Schizosaccharomyces pombe: one gene and its partners. Changing the gene in region 4 together with the main gene of any one other region gives a genetic interaction. Each region holds a gene or a part of one and is shown on either strand. Other genes may lie near its edges. The genes, in order: par2, ark1, cwf21 and gpd3.

What was found.
Region 1: mutations in gpd3 (region 4) and par2 together harm fitness less than expected from each alone (positive genetic interaction), as found in Schizosaccharomyces pombe (one large-scale study listed by BioGRID).
Region 2: mutations in gpd3 (region 4) and ark1 together harm fitness more than expected from each alone (negative genetic interaction), as found in Schizosaccharomyces pombe (one large-scale study listed by BioGRID).
Region 3: mutations in gpd3 (region 4) and cwf21 together harm fitness more than expected from each alone (negative genetic interaction), as found in Schizosaccharomyces pombe (one large-scale study listed by BioGRID).

What each region holds. Positions count from the first base shown.
Region 1 is NC_003424.3:1,333,712-1,339,029, forward strand, and holds par2 (serine/threonine protein phosphatase PP2A regulatory subunit B-56 Par2), read left to right. Parts: upstream 1-1,791; 5' UTR 1,792-2,216; coding exon 2,217-2,609; intron 2,610-2,677; coding exon 2,678-2,921; intron 2,922-2,993; coding exon 2,994-3,190; intron 3,191-3,240; coding exon 3,241-3,635; intron 3,636-3,690; coding exon 3,691-4,345; 3' UTR 4,346-4,691; downstream 4,692-5,318. Other genes in the region: transcription factor TFIIIC subunit Sfc1, read right to left, coding at 1-1,210, 1,319-1,432; geranyltranstransferase Fps1, read right to left, coding at 4,741-5,318. UniProt on the Schizosaccharomyces pombe protein: The B regulatory subunit might modulate substrate selectivity and catalytic activity, and might also direct the localization of the catalytic enzyme to a particular subcellular compartment. Has a role in cell shape control and septum formation.
Region 2 is NC_003421.2:139,692-143,675, forward strand, and holds ark1 (Aurora-B kinase Ark1), read left to right. Parts: upstream 1-1,938; 5' UTR 1,939-1,970; coding exon 1,971-3,038; 3' UTR 3,039-3,347; downstream 3,348-3,984. Other genes in the region: serine racemase Sry1, read right to left, coding at 1-502; peptidase Atp23, read right to left, coding at 3,529-3,536, 3,603-3,984. UniProt on the Schizosaccharomyces pombe protein: Component of the chromosomal passenger complex (CPC), a complex that acts as a key regulator of chromosome segregation and cytokinesis.
Region 3 is NC_003424.3:2,561,834-2,566,302, reverse strand, and holds cwf21 (protein Cwf21), read left to right. Parts: upstream 1-2,052; 5' UTR 2,053-2,339; coding exon 2,340-2,342; exon of another isoform or gene 2,343-2,413; coding exon 2,414-3,292; 3' UTR 3,293-3,826; downstream 3,827-4,469. Other genes in the region: rog1 (lipase), read right to left, coding at 1-1,832, 1,997-2,024. UniProt on the Schizosaccharomyces pombe protein: Involved in pre-mRNA splicing. May function at or prior to the first catalytic step of splicing at the catalytic center of the spliceosome. May do so by stabilizing the catalytic center or the position of the RNA substrate.
Region 4 is NC_003423.3:576,422-580,707, reverse strand, and holds gpd3 (glyceraldehyde 3-phosphate dehydrogenase Gpd3), read right to left. Parts: upstream 2,592-4,286; 5' UTR 2,527-2,591; intron 1,984-2,526; 5' UTR 1,978-1,983; coding exon 970-1,977; 3' UTR 652-969; downstream 1-651.

The DNA of each region.
Region 1 (5,318 bases), on a different chromosome or scaffold from region 4:
CCTCAAAGCCTTCATGTTCTTGACTTCTCTTCATTAAATTCCTCATTAAATCATTTATCCGATCATCTGTTGCTGAAGTATTCAAACCTCTAACAGTATCATTTAAATCTGTATTATCCTGTTCATCAAAATTCGAATATCTGTCAGATTCCTCTACCTCTTCGGCGTTTAAAATCATATTCACCGCGACTTCAGAAGGCATTTCTCCTTCGATCAGCGCAAAGAGTTTTTCACGCATAAGATCTCTAACCTTATAGTAACGACCGCTTCTATACCATCCTGTGTCCCGATGACATTCAGAACGTAACTGAGTATCTTTCAGTAGTGGTGCAATTGTGGGATCTACGATATCGCACACTTGATAAACACGATTAGTGGGAAACAAAGTCTTGCCATCAAACACGTGAGTTTTAGTCCCTTTATGTTTTCCATTTAGCTTGAGTTTAAAGAACAAAGCTTGGTAAGCAGCTGCATTAGAATCTTTTCTAGGATCGTATCCAAACCGCGTATATGTATCTCTAAATGGACCTGAAGTCCATAAATAAGAAAGGTAAGGAAGAGCAAATTTCAAATAGTGAGTATATGACGGGTCTAGATGATTTAATAAGGCTCTTCTCGTCCAAACGGGTCGTTTTTCAAAAAGAGGTTTTAAAGCTTCTATAACTTCCTGAATTGTCTTCGAAGGCTCACCTAATTTTGAGTGTCTACATGTAGGTACACTTTCAACCCCCATATTTGTAGTGATAATCCAAACTCTGCATTGACCTTTTAGATTGACTATTGTAGTTTTCCCATTAGGTAGCCGAACTCGACCTACTAGTGGATTTTGCAAGAAGTTATAAGACATGGGTAGACTTGTCTGAGAGAAAACAGGAGGAGGAGGCATGTCGACATGTTTTCTTTGTACCGGAGTTAGATCGATGGAAAACTTATTAATGGCGTTATAGTCAAGCACTCGCAGAGTGGAATCTAATTTTTGAACGAATGGTGAATTTTGAGTACTATACTGGAAATCAGCCATATCTCTGAATAAGAAAACTTGACGAATTCTACTGACATTTTGCACAGAGTTGTCCATTTTTTTAATCGTTACTAATAGGTCATTTCTGGATTGCACTCGAGCTTGTACTGGATGATGGTATTTATCTTTAGGCCTTAGATTCAACTCCAACAGAGCTTGTTTTGGGTTTTGAAATGAAGTTTGACATGCCTAGAAATTGTTAGTATTAGGTCAAAAAAGATTATCAAATTCATGTTTTATAAAAGGGGAAGCTTAAAGATGTAAGCCGGTCATTCCTATACTTTTTTAGCAATTTACCTTTTGAATTGATTGAACACCGCCTAATGTCTGAAAAAATGCATCCTTGTTATTAGCAAAGCCCGGATGCTCAATGAGTGCATATTCATTGTCAGAAATTTTTAGACTATTCATAAGATATATGCCTAATATGGTATGCTATAAAACACTGGAAAAAGTAGGGCAAAGACTTTATATATATTTGCTTTTAAAGTAATTTAATTAATAATCTGGATAACTTATTCCTCAAATGAAAAATTAATTGATACACATCAATATCATTGCTTCAAAAGCATTTTAATTTTTTGGCAGCTAAAATAATGTTGTTCCAAACCTCGGACATCGTACAACAATACAGTAACATCATAACACAAGATTTTTGCCGATCCGTTAATTCACAGTACCAGCCAATTTCCCAAGTACGTTATTTCATACTACCAGCCTTCGGTAGCGTCCCATAACATTCGAGCCACTCGCCCCGTTTTGCTTCATTTGCCAAACATAACTCATAGTAAAGTTGTCATTACAGGAAGTTTCAAGGTTAACCCTCTTAACTATTCCCTAGGGTGTTTAGCTTATATACCCATCTTATAAAGGGGCTCAGAATTCTGTTACCGAGGTTGTTGCCGTTAACTCTTTGACTTGCCGAGACATATTTACGGAGTACTTGAAAGGAACAAATCATTTATTTACCCACCACATAAATTTACCCTTTTCTAACTCATCATTGTGTACAAATTTATTAACAGACGTTCTTTTGAAGAAAGACAACGTTTACATATTCAGTAATAGGTGCATTCATTTAAGTTTCGAAATTACATTCGGTCCCAATCCTAGGAATCATTCGTTTTTTAAATTTGGTTATTCGCTATCTTTATAACTTGCAATTGAGCAAGGAAATCATCTCATTTGCCTTTTAATGAAAGGATTAAGGAGTAAATTTGTAAAAGCACTTTCGTTGAAGGATGAACAAGGGTCACATAAAAATGGTCATTCAAAAAGCCACTATATCTCTAAAAATGGGTCTTACGTGGAAACTGACGACGTGAAGCACACAGACACTCACCATTCTTCAAAACACGAGCTTAAAAAACTTAAGAGTCATTTCCTAAAAGATACTTTAAAGCACAAACGAAATCATCATGCCAACTCAAATAATGAAAAACATGAAAATTCTGATAAAAAAATACATACGACGGTTCTAGCATCTGGACATGAGGATTCTGATTACTCTACGTTTTTGCCCGTAATTGAAACTTCTAAAGTTAAAGACGCCAACCATTTCCCACCTAATTATCCAGAACCAAAAAATGTAAGTATACGTCGGTTAGTTTAATATTTTCTACCAAAATGATTATTTTCATACTAACTTACTTGTAGGATTCTGTATCGTCTAACATAGACGAATTTCCTAATGATTCCATATCTTCTGCCTCATTTTTATCTGTCCCACAATCCACTCCTCCTTATTTAGTTTCACAGCCAACTCCCTTAAATAAATTTTTAGCAGGTGCTGAGAATGTTGACATTCCGCATAGTCTTAGACCAGTACCTCGACGCGAACACTCCTCTCAATTTCAAGTATCTGAGAAAAGAACATTAGTTCGGTTGCCTTCATTTGATGGTACGTTTAGTAAGATTCTTATATCTTATTTTAATAATGTACTTTTTTTTATTCTTGTGCTAATATAATTAGATGTTCATACCTCTGAACGTGAAGAACTGTTTATAAAGAAGCTTGAACAATGCAATATTATTTTCGATTTTAATGATCCATCTTCCGATTTGGCTAGCAAAGAAATAAAAAGAGAAGCCTTATTACAAATGATAGATTATGTGTCTGAAAACCGCGGTATTTCTTCCGCATCGCTTTTTCCTTATGTTGTCAATACAGTATGTTTACTCCTCTGCTTTTTATTACTGTAAAAATCTAATCACTATAGTTTTCCCTCAATGTATTTCGGCCTATATCACCTGCTCTTAATGATTATTCATCAGATATGTTTGCTTTAGACGATGAGCCTTTTTTGGAGCCAGCGTGGCCTCACTTGGAAGAGGTGTATTTATTATTTATTAAGTTCCTAGAATCTCCTGACTTTAGAGCCAGTAAAGCAAAATCGCTCGTTGATCGTAGGTTTTTTAATCGCTTGCTAGCACTATTTGACACAGAAGACCCGCGTGAGCGCGAACTTCTGAAAACAACATTACATAGGATTTACGGAAAATTTCTGAACCTTAGGTCATACATTAGAAAGTCTATGAATAATGTTTTTTTGCAATTCATTTATGAACGAGAAAAATTTCATGGAATCGCTGAACTACTGGAGATACTTGGAAGGTATGTTTCATTAATGGTTATAGTTCCTAAATTGATTTACAAACTAACTTATTAGTATTATTAATGGATTTGCTGTACCTTTAAAAGAAGAACATAAAATATTTTTGTCCAAAGTGCTTATTCCTTTACATCAAACTAAATCTGTTTTTTTATACCATCCCCAACTTACGTATTGCATTGTTCAGTTTATCGATAAAGATCCTTCTTTAACGAAGGCAGTCTTGACTGGCATTCTTAAGTACTGGCCACGAATAAACAGCTTTAAAGAATTACTGTTTTTGAATGAAATTGAAGATATCTTTGAAGTTTTGGAGCCTTCCGAATTTGTTAATATAATGTCCCCTTTATTTCAGCAACTAGCTCGCTCAATATCTAGTATGCATTTCCAGGTCGCCGAACGTGCCTTATGTCTGTGGAGCAATGAGTACTTCACAAGTCTTGTCAGCCAAAACGTAGTAACCCTTCTCCCTATAATATATCCTTCTCTTTACAAAACTGCTAATGAGCATTGGAATAGCACTATACAAGCTATTGCTTGTAATGTTTTACAAATTTTTGTCGATATGGATGCGGACTTTTTTAATGGACTTGTTGAGGATTATAAACAGGCCATTATAAAGCAAGAAGAAGTTATGATTATTAGAAAACAGCAATGGTGTCAGATTGAGGCATTAGCGGCGGAAAACAAACCCACTGATTATTTAAGATAATTCCTTCGTAAGGAATATGTTTATATATGTTACAACTATTTGGTCGCGGCAGAGAATAAAGTTTATTTAATTTGTAATCTTTAGAAATTCCCTGTTTATACGCGTAAACGCCAATTGGGATTCATTTTGTTTTTGCTATCTTTTATACACCGCATTTTATATACTAGTGTCAAGATTCATTTTGGAGTCGTATTACCACCTTTTGTTACATATTTTAATACGCCTCATGAGAACTGGATTTTTAATGATATAAGTTATGTAGTATTTTGCAGGTCCTTTACCAATACAATGATTCAATATTAAAAGTTGGTATTGTCAACAATGGATGTATTCTCTAAAAAGTATCTACAGCGCAATTGCCAATTTGAGTCGAATAAAAACATAGAACAAGAAATTTACTTATTTCTTTTGTAAATCTTTCCTAAGAAAGTGGTAAATATGGATTTTTTCAAACCGGTTGATTCATCAACTCCATCAATTAGCTTTTTGATTTCAGAAACTTCTGATTCCTCATAGTTCTCGAATTCACCACGGATATTGAGTTCCTCAAAAACAGCTTTAACTCTCTTTTCGCTTTCGCTATCTTTACGTCCATAATTGTCGTCCAAAATAACACGTTGTTCAGGAGTACACTTTGCGAGAGCAAGATTGATAATCCAAGAACATTTGTTGTCTAAAATATCAGTCCCAATTTTACCAGTTACCGTAGGATCACCATAGCAATCTAAATAATCATCTTGAACTTGGAAGTATTTACCAAGGATAATAAGGATGTCTTGGGCGCATTTCAAGTTCTCAGGAGTAGCTACACCAGCGAGATGCATTGCCAATGCGACAGGCAAATAAAAGGAATAAAATGCAGTCTTGTAAATTACAATGAAAGAATGCTTTTGAAGAGAAAACTTCGAAAGATCGACGGAGTCTTCGGGAGCAGTAAGTAAATCGAGTTGCTGCCCTAATTCCGTTTGAAAAG
Region 2 (3,984 bases), on a different chromosome or scaffold from region 4:
GTTCCTTAGCTGCGGTTCCTTGACCAGCAAGTACATGGGGGTGATCGTAAGGAGGGATAATGGTAAGACCTTCTCTTTCAGAAATTTCTTTGGCCATCTTTTCTCTATCATCTTTGTATCTATCATACATGATTACTTGACCACCATAGCCTTTCGTGGCAGCGACCTTGGCTTCGGGTGCATCGAGTGGCATAATGATTTTTGCTGGAATTCCCAAGATCTTTGCCGACAGTGCAATGGCCTGAGCATGATTACCAGAAGAAAACGTCAAAACACCAGCTTTACGTTGAGCTTCATTGAGTTGAGAAAGAGCATTAAGGGCACCGCGAAATTTGAAAGCACCCATTTTTTGGAAATTTTCACATTTAAAAAACACTTCTGCCACAAACTCTTTATTTACTGTGCTCGACGTGAGTACTGGGGTTTTGTTGGCGAATTTCTTAATTCGCTCACTAGCTGAAGCAACATCATCATAGGTAGGAAGCACCAGGTTATCGCTCATTGTCGTAGTTTTTTAAAAATTTAAAAAGAGTGAAAATATCCTTTTATTCTGTAAACTATTCAGTCTTAAAATGCAAACTGAAGAATTTAACGACAATGAGAGATGTCAAATCAAGCAGAGCTCTCGATCATTTATAGAGAGAACCGTCAACTGTAACGCTATCTTATCTTTACTATGAAAAGAAGGTCAAAAAATGCGAGCCCAACTCGGAAACGAATTTATAGGCGACAATTGTAAAGACACTTACACAATTAGAACCAAATGGAAATGAAACAGCAGGACGGAGCTCCAACTTGCTAGTTCATAAAACAGTGACATGTAGCATAGCGAGTATAATGCTAATCACTATTTGTAGTATTCCTCTGTAATAAATGTTAACATTATATAGTGAGAATTTCAAGATGTAGAAACAGTCTGTTAAGAGTGTCATAGAATATAACGAAAATGCATGTATAACAATTGTTTCGACTCATTGAGTGCCAGAATAGTAACGTCTTTCTACCTTTAGCGTGATGAACAGTCATGCAGCATTGGTTAAATATATCAATAGTTTGAACCAAGCCTCGTTAATTTCTGTAAACTGTATCTGCTCAGCAATGGACTTGACTGCAGCTTAAATCAGTTTAGAAATAAATATCCAACAAACGGTGTTTTGACTTTCACATTACTATGCATATAACTCGTTACTAAAGAGTTCTTTTTTTTTATGAGAAATCTTAATCAAGAATGAAAAAGCTGATAATTAATGCTAAAACAATCGCAGAATTATATAATCCGTCATGGTCCAGTGGCTAGGATTCATCGCTCTCACCGATGCGGCGGGGGTTCGATTCCCCCTGACGGAGATTTTTTATCGTGTACTTTTCTAAATTGATTGAGAAATACGATAATTTATTATCAACTACAATTGTTAATTCACTTTTCGGTCCTTTTCTTTTGGTGTTACTCTACTTACTGAATTCTTTTCTTTTCTTGTTAGTTAGCACTGTCTCCTTCTGAAGCGTTAATATTGTAAGTATTCTATAACTAGTATTGAATAGTTCACTGTATATCGTTATTCGGTAAACAAACAGTGGACACATTGAAAAGAATAAAAAACAGATACTAAATATACTTTTAAGCCTGTGGTATTGGGATGATATAGAATATTCTGTTTGTTTTCCTTTTATTTATTTTGTTGAGAACGATACATGTCGTTTTTTTTAATAACATTTGTAGAATCGAAGTGGGTTCGTATGCTAAATAAATTCGTTCATAATTTCCATGTAAATAATCTTTGAAACACCCTTTGAGTATTCATAAATAACAACGGGAATCAGAGCCTCCTTCTTAGTTTGAAAGAAAGGAAGATAATAGCAGGCTGTGTTAAGACTCAGTAAACATGGTGTTACCTCAAAATGTAAACAACAACGCTCCTACTTCTGGACGAACTTGTCAAAAGCCAACATCAGCGTTTTTTTACGAAATAATGTCAGATTCAAAGTTGGCAGATTCTTTGAATTGCCTTTCTGTGTCAACTCCATCAACCACAGCTAATCCTGGGAGACAACAGCTTTTACGACTTGCAGTATCAAACCAACGACAAGTAAATAATGTTAGTCTAGCAAATGGGAAGGAAAACAAACGGACTTCAAATAGCAAGTTCAATTCTTCCCTTCGTAAGATAGAAGAGCCAATTGCTGGAGTACCTTCATCAGCTGGTCCTCAATGGCGAGAATTTCATATTGGAATGTTTGAAATTGGAAAACCCTTAGGGAAAGGAAAGTTTGGAAGGGTATATCTAGCTAAAGAGAAGAAGACCGGGTTTATTGTGGCTCTCAAAACATTGCATAAGTCTGAACTTGTCCAGTCAAAGATAGAAAAGCAAGTTCGACGAGAAATTGAGATTCAATCAAATCTTCGCCATAAAAACATTTTACGGCTATATGGGCACTTTCATGATGAAAAAAGGATTTATTTGATTTTAGAGTTTGCTGGCAGGGGTGAGTTGTATCAACACTTGCGTCGTGCAAAACGATTCTCAGAAGAAGTTGCGTCTAAATATATCTTCCAAATGGCTAACGCCTTATCCTACTTGCATAAGAAGCATGTAATACACCGTGATATCAAACCTGAGAACATTTTATTAGGAATTGATGGAGAAATCAAGCTTTCTGACTTTGGTTGGAGTGTCCATGCACCTTCTAACCGTCGTACCACTTTATGTGGTACATTAGATTACTTACCACCTGAAATGGTGGAGGGAAAAGAGCATACCGAAAAAGTTGATCTCTGGTCGTTGGGTGTCTTAACTTATGAGTTTTTGGTGGGAGCACCGCCTTTTGAGGACATGTCTGGTCATTCAGCTACGTATAAGCGTATCGCCAAAGTTGACTTAAAAATTCCAAGCTTTGTTCCTCCTGATGCACGGGATCTTATTTCTCGTCTATTACAGCATAATCCTGAAAAAAGAATGAGTTTGGAACAAGTTATGAGGCACCCTTGGATTGTAAAATATAAAGATTCATGGACTCGCAAAAGTTCTGAATCTTCCTAACCGCCATCTTGGTACTTTTTATTTAATTTTTCCTTCTTCTCACTACATTTTTGCATTACTACTTTCTTTTTGTTTCAGCGCTCTTTTTAATCGCGCAGCTCACTATATTCCTTCAGAACTTTTTTGATCTTTGGGGGTTATGGAGGTTTAATTATATGTAATATAACACACTCATTTAATAGAGGATCACCACCATAAACTAATCGTTTTCCAGATTTTCTTTTCGAAATCACTTAGAAGACATTCATTTTCCTAATAAAAACTATTTAAAAATTTATCATCACTTTAGCCAAGCTAATAATAACTTCCAAAAAAACTGTTACAATATGTATAAAGATAAAGTACGCCAAGCACATAATAAGTTGCATAACAAGTGAGAAGTATGCTTCGATATTTTTTAAAAGCCAACGTAAATGCTGTACGGGATATTATAAAATGGGAGGGGAAGGGAGTTGACATAATAACTATCTGACTTTTGTAAACTGGTATTTCAATAGACTAGACGAAAGAATGAATAGTTAGTACGAAGAAAAAAATGAATGAACAAAACTACAGCGAACGTACTTTTTTCAAAAGGCCTGAAATCGTTGAAACAGGAATTGAACACTTCTTCAACGATTGCTTCTGCTTGCTCTTTGCTTTTACAATTCGGGTTACCTTGTACGGAGATAGTAGCTCGTCGTTTGACGCATTCTTGATGATGCTTCCGAAAAGTTTTAATGTTACCAAAACGAAGTTCTTTGGTCCAGCGACACTCACCACTCATACTACTAGCACGAATTTCTGAACAAGCCTGATGTCTCAAATTGTTCCAATCGACTTCAAACCTGTGGTCGTCAAACATGTGTATCATTTCATGGGCAATTGTATTCTCTGCCATTTTTTTAGTATAAAGTCTGTTTTCACACAGAACTATCCCTTTACCGGGAATGTAACCTCCAGTACT
Region 3 (4,469 bases), on a different chromosome or scaffold from region 4:
GTTTGAAGAATTTGAGACATCTAATTCATCTGAGCCAAGACAATTGGGTTCAGTAGGCTTCCTAGCATTTTCATCCTCATTTTTTACTAATGGAATTTCAGTATCTGTAGTTTTGGATGCCGAATAACTGAACAATCCTACAAAGGATTTAAGAGCTTTAGAAAATGAAGATCCAGATTCTTCTGAAGAAGCATGGATTTTCTTTGCATTATCTCCGACACTTTGAACTGTTTGCTCATTTTCTTTTAGTGTTGGTGAAATGCCATTTTCCATATGCGTAGGCATAACCTTATCTGAACCCTCAGCTTCCTCTACCTTACCCAAAGAACTAACTTCCATTGCGCTAGTTCCAAAAGGGACGATATAGTCATTGGTAGTATTTGCAAATAATATTCTTTTTTCAAAAAACGAAACAGCTTGAAAGAAAGGCGTGGAAGGATCAGACATCAAAACAAGGAAAGGTCTTGATTCAATGGAGTGATTCAGTGGAGTTAAAGATAAGTCTTGTCCTGTCTTACCAATGATACCATAGGACAAAGCCTTACCAATATAAGAAGGATGTTCACCAGCAACACCGAGCCAAGGAGTTGCCAAAGTTACAAAAAACACAGGGTGAATAGCCTGAAAAAAGGCACCGTGCGTTTTTGCATGTACATAACCAACAGCATATGTTTGAACCAATCCACCAAGTGAGTGGGCGACAACTGATATATGGGAATATCGAGGAAAAGATGCACTTCCCCAGCCCGTAATATCCAACAGCCATTCACCAAGTCGTTTACCCAGCCAGCGAACCCCTTTCTCAGTCTGACAGTAGTTACCGGTAAATCCTCGAACAACTACTAGTTCCTTAACAGATTTTGATGATTCTATTAGTTTTTCTTTTAAATACTCCATATCAGCACCAACATTAGAATGCATTCCATGAGTTAGCACCACCAAATGTGAATTCTTTGAATGAAATGAAGAATACGGAAGACGCCATAAATTTTCCGGAGTTTGATGTTCAACGTGTAGAGCAGGGAATGCATGAAGAGTATCGATATCAGCAGCTGACATGGCTCGAATGGAATGTTGAGATTGCGATATAGCAAGCTCAAAGTTAATAGATCTATCTTTAAAAATCGCCTGACTTGCAATTTCAATGTAAATAGGCTGCTGATTGGAAAAACATGAATAAGGTACACAGACCCAAAAACTAGTAGAGGGCTGTACCTGAGGATCAAAGTTTAATAAAGAATTTTTTTCATCAAAAAATTGGTCATTCCAAACGCTAACGCATAATGTAAATGGACCTTGAAGATAGGCTGCCTGGCGGAAACGTGCTTCTCTATTCCTGACACGAATCCAAAGTACCGAGTTAGTCGAATTTATGAAGGGAGCTGTAGAGTCGCTTCCTGCCAAGGGATTTTTTACTTCACGAAGATTAATAGAAGAGAATGAAGTACCTACAGAAGGAGAAGAAGAGGTATGAGAGACACCTCTTGTTTGTTCAGGTATGTTGATTGCATTGGTATTATCTGTAAACGCACCAACTTTATGATAATCTTTTGAAGAAGATGAAAAATCGCTGGAAAGAAGAGGTGAGGATTCTGAATTTGCATGCTTCGGATTCGTGCTACTATTATTCTCTGAGATTTGCTTGCTGATATTCTCCCCACTAGAGATTGTCATCCCACCTGAACCTGCTCTATCCTCGATGCTACCACTCTCTTTCTTAGTCACTGAATTGAGGTTCACAGTGGGGGGCACAGTTGTAGAAGACGTTGCCGAATGCAAATTGCCCCCACTCTGCACAAAAATTCGAAATCGATGTATTTGACCTAAACCAACTGTACCATGCCAATGTTAGAACAAGTATTAAATATTTATATGCCATCCCAAAATTTTTGCATCGAAACAAGCATAACAAATCGAAACTTTAAATAACGAGCTGATAATATCAACTTGCAAATACAATTTAAAGGAGTGGTAAATTTTGTTTAAAGTAACTTACCGTCATCTCGTTGTACATATACATTCATAATGTCAGAAGTCAAGCGATGACAACTCAAAAACTAGTAAATCTGAAAATTAGCTATTCGTGAAAGGTGAGAGATATCAATTATTTTTCAATACCGGTCAACGAATAGGGATAAAATTTTATCTGTTTCAATTAGTAAATCGCTAGTTGCTCATATCACGTAAAAAGTAACGCGAATTTATCAGTGTCCTACCGGTAAAATTTGTTCGCTCGATTCCTTTGTTAGACTAGCTGTTCGACGAACCTATATAAACTCAGTTTTTCTAATTTTTGAGCAAAAGCAAAAATCGAACGACTTCACGGGAAATAAAGCAAGATGGTAAGAGATGCATAAAAAGCTTTCTTTAATGAAGAAGACACCAAAATTGAGTCCTTTGCTAACAATTAAAGTCGTATAATGGAATTGGATTACCCACTCCAAGAGGATCAGGAACAAATGGATACGTAATGCGGAATCTGTCTCACGTAAAAAAATATGACAAAAATACAAATCTACAGTCAAATCGAAATGCAAAAGCTCTGGAAAAACGGGTTCAAGATCCTTCAATAAGCGAGCATGAATGCCGTCGACAAATTGAGTCGAAGTTGTTGTTGTACAGAGAGCAGTTGTTGGAGGAGGTCAGTTCCCAACACAGCACTGATGCAGCGGCATCTGATTCCAATACAAATTTTGGGACTGAAAACCCGAAGCCACCTAAAGCAATTATAAAAGATGAGCAATCACAATCGAAAACTAAATCTTTAGATGAAGCTGATGTAGAAATTTTAGTACAAAAATATCGAGAACAGTTACTTAAAGAATTGCAATTACAAAAATCTACTGAAAAAGGAAAAAATTTTGAATCCATTCTTCAACCTCAGAAAAGAAAAGAAACAAGAGGATTTCACTCGAAAAATGACGATGATGGGCGATTAGAAGAAAGAGACGATTTGAGATCATCAGTTGACGATGATTATTATGATTACCCGCGTTATTCCGAGAGGAAATCATTAAATTCAAAAAGGCATGTGGACAATTACAATGAAAATAGAAGAAGACATTACGATTCGTATTCCTCCTACGATGAATTAGAAAGACGACGGAGTAGTAATGAAAGTTACTCAAGGCGTTCTGAATTACCCAGAAGAGATTATAATAGACACGATGAACGGGAAAGGTATTCTTATCATAGAAGGAGAGAAAGAAGCAATTCACCCTCCTATACGAAGAATGAGTCAATTCCTGTTGTGGACAGGGATTCCTCTCCTGAGGGTGGCGAAATTGTATGAGGCCCAAAGAGTTAGGCCAGTTAAAACAATAATATAATAGGCAATTCATGCAAGCATGTATTGTTTATTAATATTGGATAATTATTCGGGTCATCAACAATCGTTGGATTAATATGAATATTTGGTTAGCAATACACGTTAGTCAAATCCCATGAAGCACACGACTGTTCAATGATATAAAAAATATTATTCTTCAAAGAAAAAATACTATCGACTTTATATTAAGGCTGTTAAGTTGCACGATTTAAACATCATTTGATATTTTTCTTTTTCACGGAGGGATAATGAAGCAATTTTAAATTTACAATTACGCTTTTACATTTGTATTTTAAATTCATTAATTAAGCATAAAAGAATCTTTTTAATAAAGATTTTCGAGATTATTCACGCGATTTTAGTCAAAGTAGCTCTTGGCGGCTTTGTTTTCCTGCATACTGTAAATCTCAGAGCTTTTATACCAATAATGTTTATTATATATATTTTACAAAATGAACTTGCTTTAAAGCAATATTAATTATATAATAAAACCAATTTATAAAAAAAATTATAATATAAGTTTAATTATAAATAATACAATTTTTATTTTCTGATGATCTTCGGATCACTTTGGTCAAATTGAAACGATACAGAGAAGATTGTAAGTAACAATATTTACCAAGGTTCGAGTCATACTAACTCGTTGTTTAGAGCATGGCCCCTGCACAAGGATGACACTGCGACATTGAGAGAAAACCCATTTTTTTTTCTAAACAAAATTAATCATACATTCAAATCTTGATTTCCAATCGCTTTAACTTTTTTAAAATAAATATCTATTGTTTCATATAACTTTCAATTTCCTAGATACTACAGTACATTAAACACGTATTACAACTTCTTGCTAAGTCGCAAAGCATTAATTAATTAGTTTTCTGTAGATAATTGAAAAGAAAAAAAACATTTTTTCATCGAAATTTTTTATTGGACAGGTAAATATATTTAACGCGATTACTCTATCGAAATCTGAATTAAAAACTAGTTAAAAATTTTCGACTAGCTTGTTTGTTACTATCGCCAATATACCAAGCTTTGTTCACAAAGCAATTGACTAGATGTAGGTTCATATAGCATATTATACGAATTGGCAGCATCAATGGGTAGGAACAGTGAGCTCGTATTTCACTTTAACGTCTCAAAC
Region 4 (4,286 bases):
TTAGATATAACTGTATTTTTTATGAGGGTACATGTGACTAGCAATGCGGTATCAAAAAACCAAAGGACAAAATACAAAAAACAGGATTAGCTGTTATCCAGAAAAGAATCAAATGCAAGCATGAAATTTTTTGAATAATTTTCTGAAGCACAAACAGCTCTAAGTATCAAACATTAAGAGTTGCGAGAACCGCCTAAATGGAACACTCGCTTTCATCATCATACTTGATGGTCTGAGATTGATCTGGAAAGTGGAGTGAACGAACACTAAGAATGAAAATGCTAAATTTAAATTGCTATCTATTAATATATAATTTTTCTTATCGTTTGACTTACACTTCCATTCTAGAAACTTGCAAATAGGGGCAGTAAAGATAGGCAGCAGAGGCCCTCAAAAGGACTGAAAAATTATTTACTTCACCCAAAAAAGCGTGGGCCAAGTTTATGGAAACATCTTAGCGAATATCTATCATCAAGACGAAAACAATTATCTCAAATGCAAACGGTAATAGAATGCTAACAAGCAACTATGATAACTATATAATGCTTTATAAATCAGTCTACCTTTTTTACCTCCAATAAACTACCACATTTCAAATCAAAATTTTCATACACCACATACTTTACGGATTTTTTACACATTAAAAACAAGTGAAGAAAAAACAATTCATTTAAAATTATATCTTAATCTATTTCGTAGAAAGGTCGTCAGCTATAGAGATCGCCCTAGGAGCGCAATCAAAATGATAACGTGGAATAAAAGAGGAAAATCTCATACATGTCTATCATTATCGTAGCAAACCCCAGAAAAGGAAAAGGGGGAAAACAAGCATAAGAATAAAAAACCAAAAGTTCGCACATATGTAAGACCCCCCAAAACCGAACGCATGTTCAGTTGAATAGCTTGGAGTTTAACAACGGCTGATTAGAGAGATATAGATTGACGACGGAATAAATCGAAAGAAGCAATCTAATCCTTGGAAGCAGTGTAGGCAACCAAGTCAACAACACGGTGGGAGTAACCCCATTCGTTATCGTACCAAGAGACGAGCTTGACGAATTGAGGAGAAAGTTGGATACCGGCAGAGGCATCGAAGATGGAGGAGTGGTTGTCACCACAGAAGTCGGTGGAGACAACAGAGTCCTCGGTGTAACCCAACACACCCTTCATGGGACCCTCAGAGGCAGCCTTGATAGCAGCCTTGATGTCCTCGTAGTTGGTAGGCTTGGCCAACTTGACGGTCAAGTCAACAACGGAAACATCGGGGGTAGGGACACGGAAAGCCATACCGGTAAGCTTACCGTTAAGAGCGGGAATAACCTTACCGACGGCCTTGGCGGCACCAGTGGAGGAGGGGATGATGTTGGCGCTGGCGCCACGACCACCACGCCAGTCCTTCTTAGAGGGACCGTCAACGGTCTTTTGGGTGGCAGTGGTAGCGTGAACAGTGGTCATGAGACCCTCTTCAATACCGAAGGTGTCGTTGATGACCTTGGCAAGGGGAGCCAAACAGTTGGTGGTGCAAGAGGCGTTGGAGATAACCTTCTCGGAGGGGTTGAACTTCTCCAAGTTAACACCGACGACGAACATGGGAGCATCCTTGGAAGGAGCAGAGATGATGACACGCTTGGCACCACCCTTCAAGTGAGCAGAGGCAGTCTCCTTGGTAGTGAAGACACCAGTGGACTCAATAACGTACTCAGCACCAGAGGCAGACCACTTGATGTTGGCGGGGTCACGCTCGTTGTGGACATCGATGGAGTGACCGTCGATGACAAGCTTGCCACCCTTGGTCTCAACGGAGCCCTCAAAGCGACCGTGGGTAGAGTCGTACTTGAACATATATGCCATGTAGTCAAGATCGATGAAAGGATCGTTGACAGCGACAACTTGGATCTTGCCAGTGAGGATGGCGTTACGGAGGACGATACGGCCAATACGACCGAAACCGTTGATACCAACTTTAGGAATTGCCATTGTTATCTGAAAAGAGTTAGTAAGAAGAAGAGATCAAAGAGGAGAGAAAAAGGCAAAAAGAAGCGAGAGAGGGAAGAAAGCGAAGAGAAGAAGAAGAAGAAACGATGAGCGTCATTAAAAGAAAAGATATCATTATTGAGAGAAGAATAGAAAAGAAAGTATACTAAAAACAGCAGCTTTGTCGCTTTCGGCAAGTCTATTTTAATTTCTGACCAAACTGCCGTCAAGCGAAAAATAAAGCCTTCTTTACCGAAAGAAACGGAAACTAACGAATCTTATCACGACTTCGTTGTACAATTTCACCATACTGGATATGACATGTTTTCGTCATGTCAAGTAAAATCAGAGAGCCTCTTCTCTTGGCAATCTCACTGACCATTTTCATTTCAATTCATCGCTCAAAATCCATCTTTTTCAACTAAAAGAGAATATCAAAAGAAAATATCCCTTCCTTTTCCTCAATCTATTTTTCCCTCTTGGCAGGTGTTTGACACATGTCACATGTCTCACCAAGCCAATGCTTTGCCAATGCCACAGCGCATCACATACCTAATTAATTCGATTGCTATTTCTCAAAACCAAACAAGTACTATTGCTGATTTCTTGATACTACAAAGAAGCAGACTGGCCTACCACTCCTATTTATATTGTATGTGTTTACGCTAGAGTTGTCATGCCAACGACGGTATCGTAAGCGGCGATTTCCGTGTTCGGTACTTGGCAGATCGGATAATGAAATTAGCGGCCTTCTAGATAACTTCCCATGCGAATATTTTTGGCTCATAATCATACAACAATCGACGCATTGCGTTGACCTTTCCCTCGCCTCGCTTGACAGGAACGAGAGAGGCAAGGATGGAATGGCATGGAATGGATGAGTTGGGATGGCGGTGGAAAAGAAAAAGAAATGTAAACAATGAGTGTAGAGGAAAGAAGAAGAGAAGAGAATAGCATAGCATAGCATAGCATAGTAATCAAGAGGACAAGTGGGAGAAATGAGACAAGTGGTAAATCCAAGTCAACTGTGAAATTTCGAATGCAATTGGATTCAATCCATTTCTATTGATTCTATAAAAATGTTCATTTACTTCACTATTCATCGACTCACTTCACTAATAGTCATCGAGTATATCTGCTGTGTGTGTCAGTCTCGTCCCTTCCATCATCCATCAATCCGCCCTTGGAATGGCGTTTCCAATGCCTAGATGGAATGGAATGTTTAGAGGGTTGGCCCAGTTAGCTGTTGTTAGGCTGACGATTCTTGCATTGAATTGCATGATTTTGTTTGACCGTGCTAACAGGGCTATTAGCAAGGCTCATGGCATCCCAGCGGCTCCTCGGGAATAACGAGGTGCAAAGTCTCGTTAACATCATCTGTTTGTGAGGGAGGATGGAGGAGGGTAGGAGGGTAGGAGGGTAGCGAAAAGGTAGGAAGGGAGCGGGTTAGACGTGGAACATGAAGGAGAAGACATAGAATAACAAGGAGAAGATATAGAACAATTGTTTACAGTGCACAGTTTGGAAAAGAGATTCAGTTGGAAAAGGAAAATCGTTGATGTTGAGATTGTTATTGTATAAAGTTTTTGCTTTCTATTGACATCTCTCATTTACCTACTACCACTTTCCACTCCTTTTTCTCTCTCTCTCTCCCCCCCTACTTTATCGAGTTCAACAATACTCTGCTGTCCGACTATACTGAACTACGACGCTTTGCACTATGTTCCTCTGCGCTTGACTGCCCAGGACGTTCCTTCGGTTAATCGTAAGCTGTTTCTTCGGAAAAAATTGATCGGCAGTTGGGACAATTTGAGTTTCCGGGGCGGTTACAAGGTCTTGTGATGGTTGGCGGATTCGGATTGAAAGAACCCTAATTCACCTTCTAGAGAAACCTTATGTGAATGAGCTGACGAATCAACCATCGACGAGGATCCTTTCAAGGTCCGGGATGCGCTCATCCTCAAGTCCATACTGGTTCCGAGAGTTTCTATTGCGTCACTTTTTATGTAGGCGAAATTAATTTTGGCGGGCCACCGTCCGATAAGAAAGGAAAAGGAACCGAAGGAAGCAGGAGGAAGCAGCTGAAACAGCGCGAGACTCACATACAGAGAGTGAGGAATAACACAGTAATGCAACGTAAAAACAAAGCCATCAAAAAAGAACTTTGCTCTATGGAAACACACTGTAAGCAATGGAAACCCAGAATTGTTGTCTTCATAAAGGTCAATGAGTAACACAAAAAAATATGAGTTTTTAATCAATTGACTACTTCAATCCATTCTTTCTTCATTCAATTCCCATTCCCATTCCCT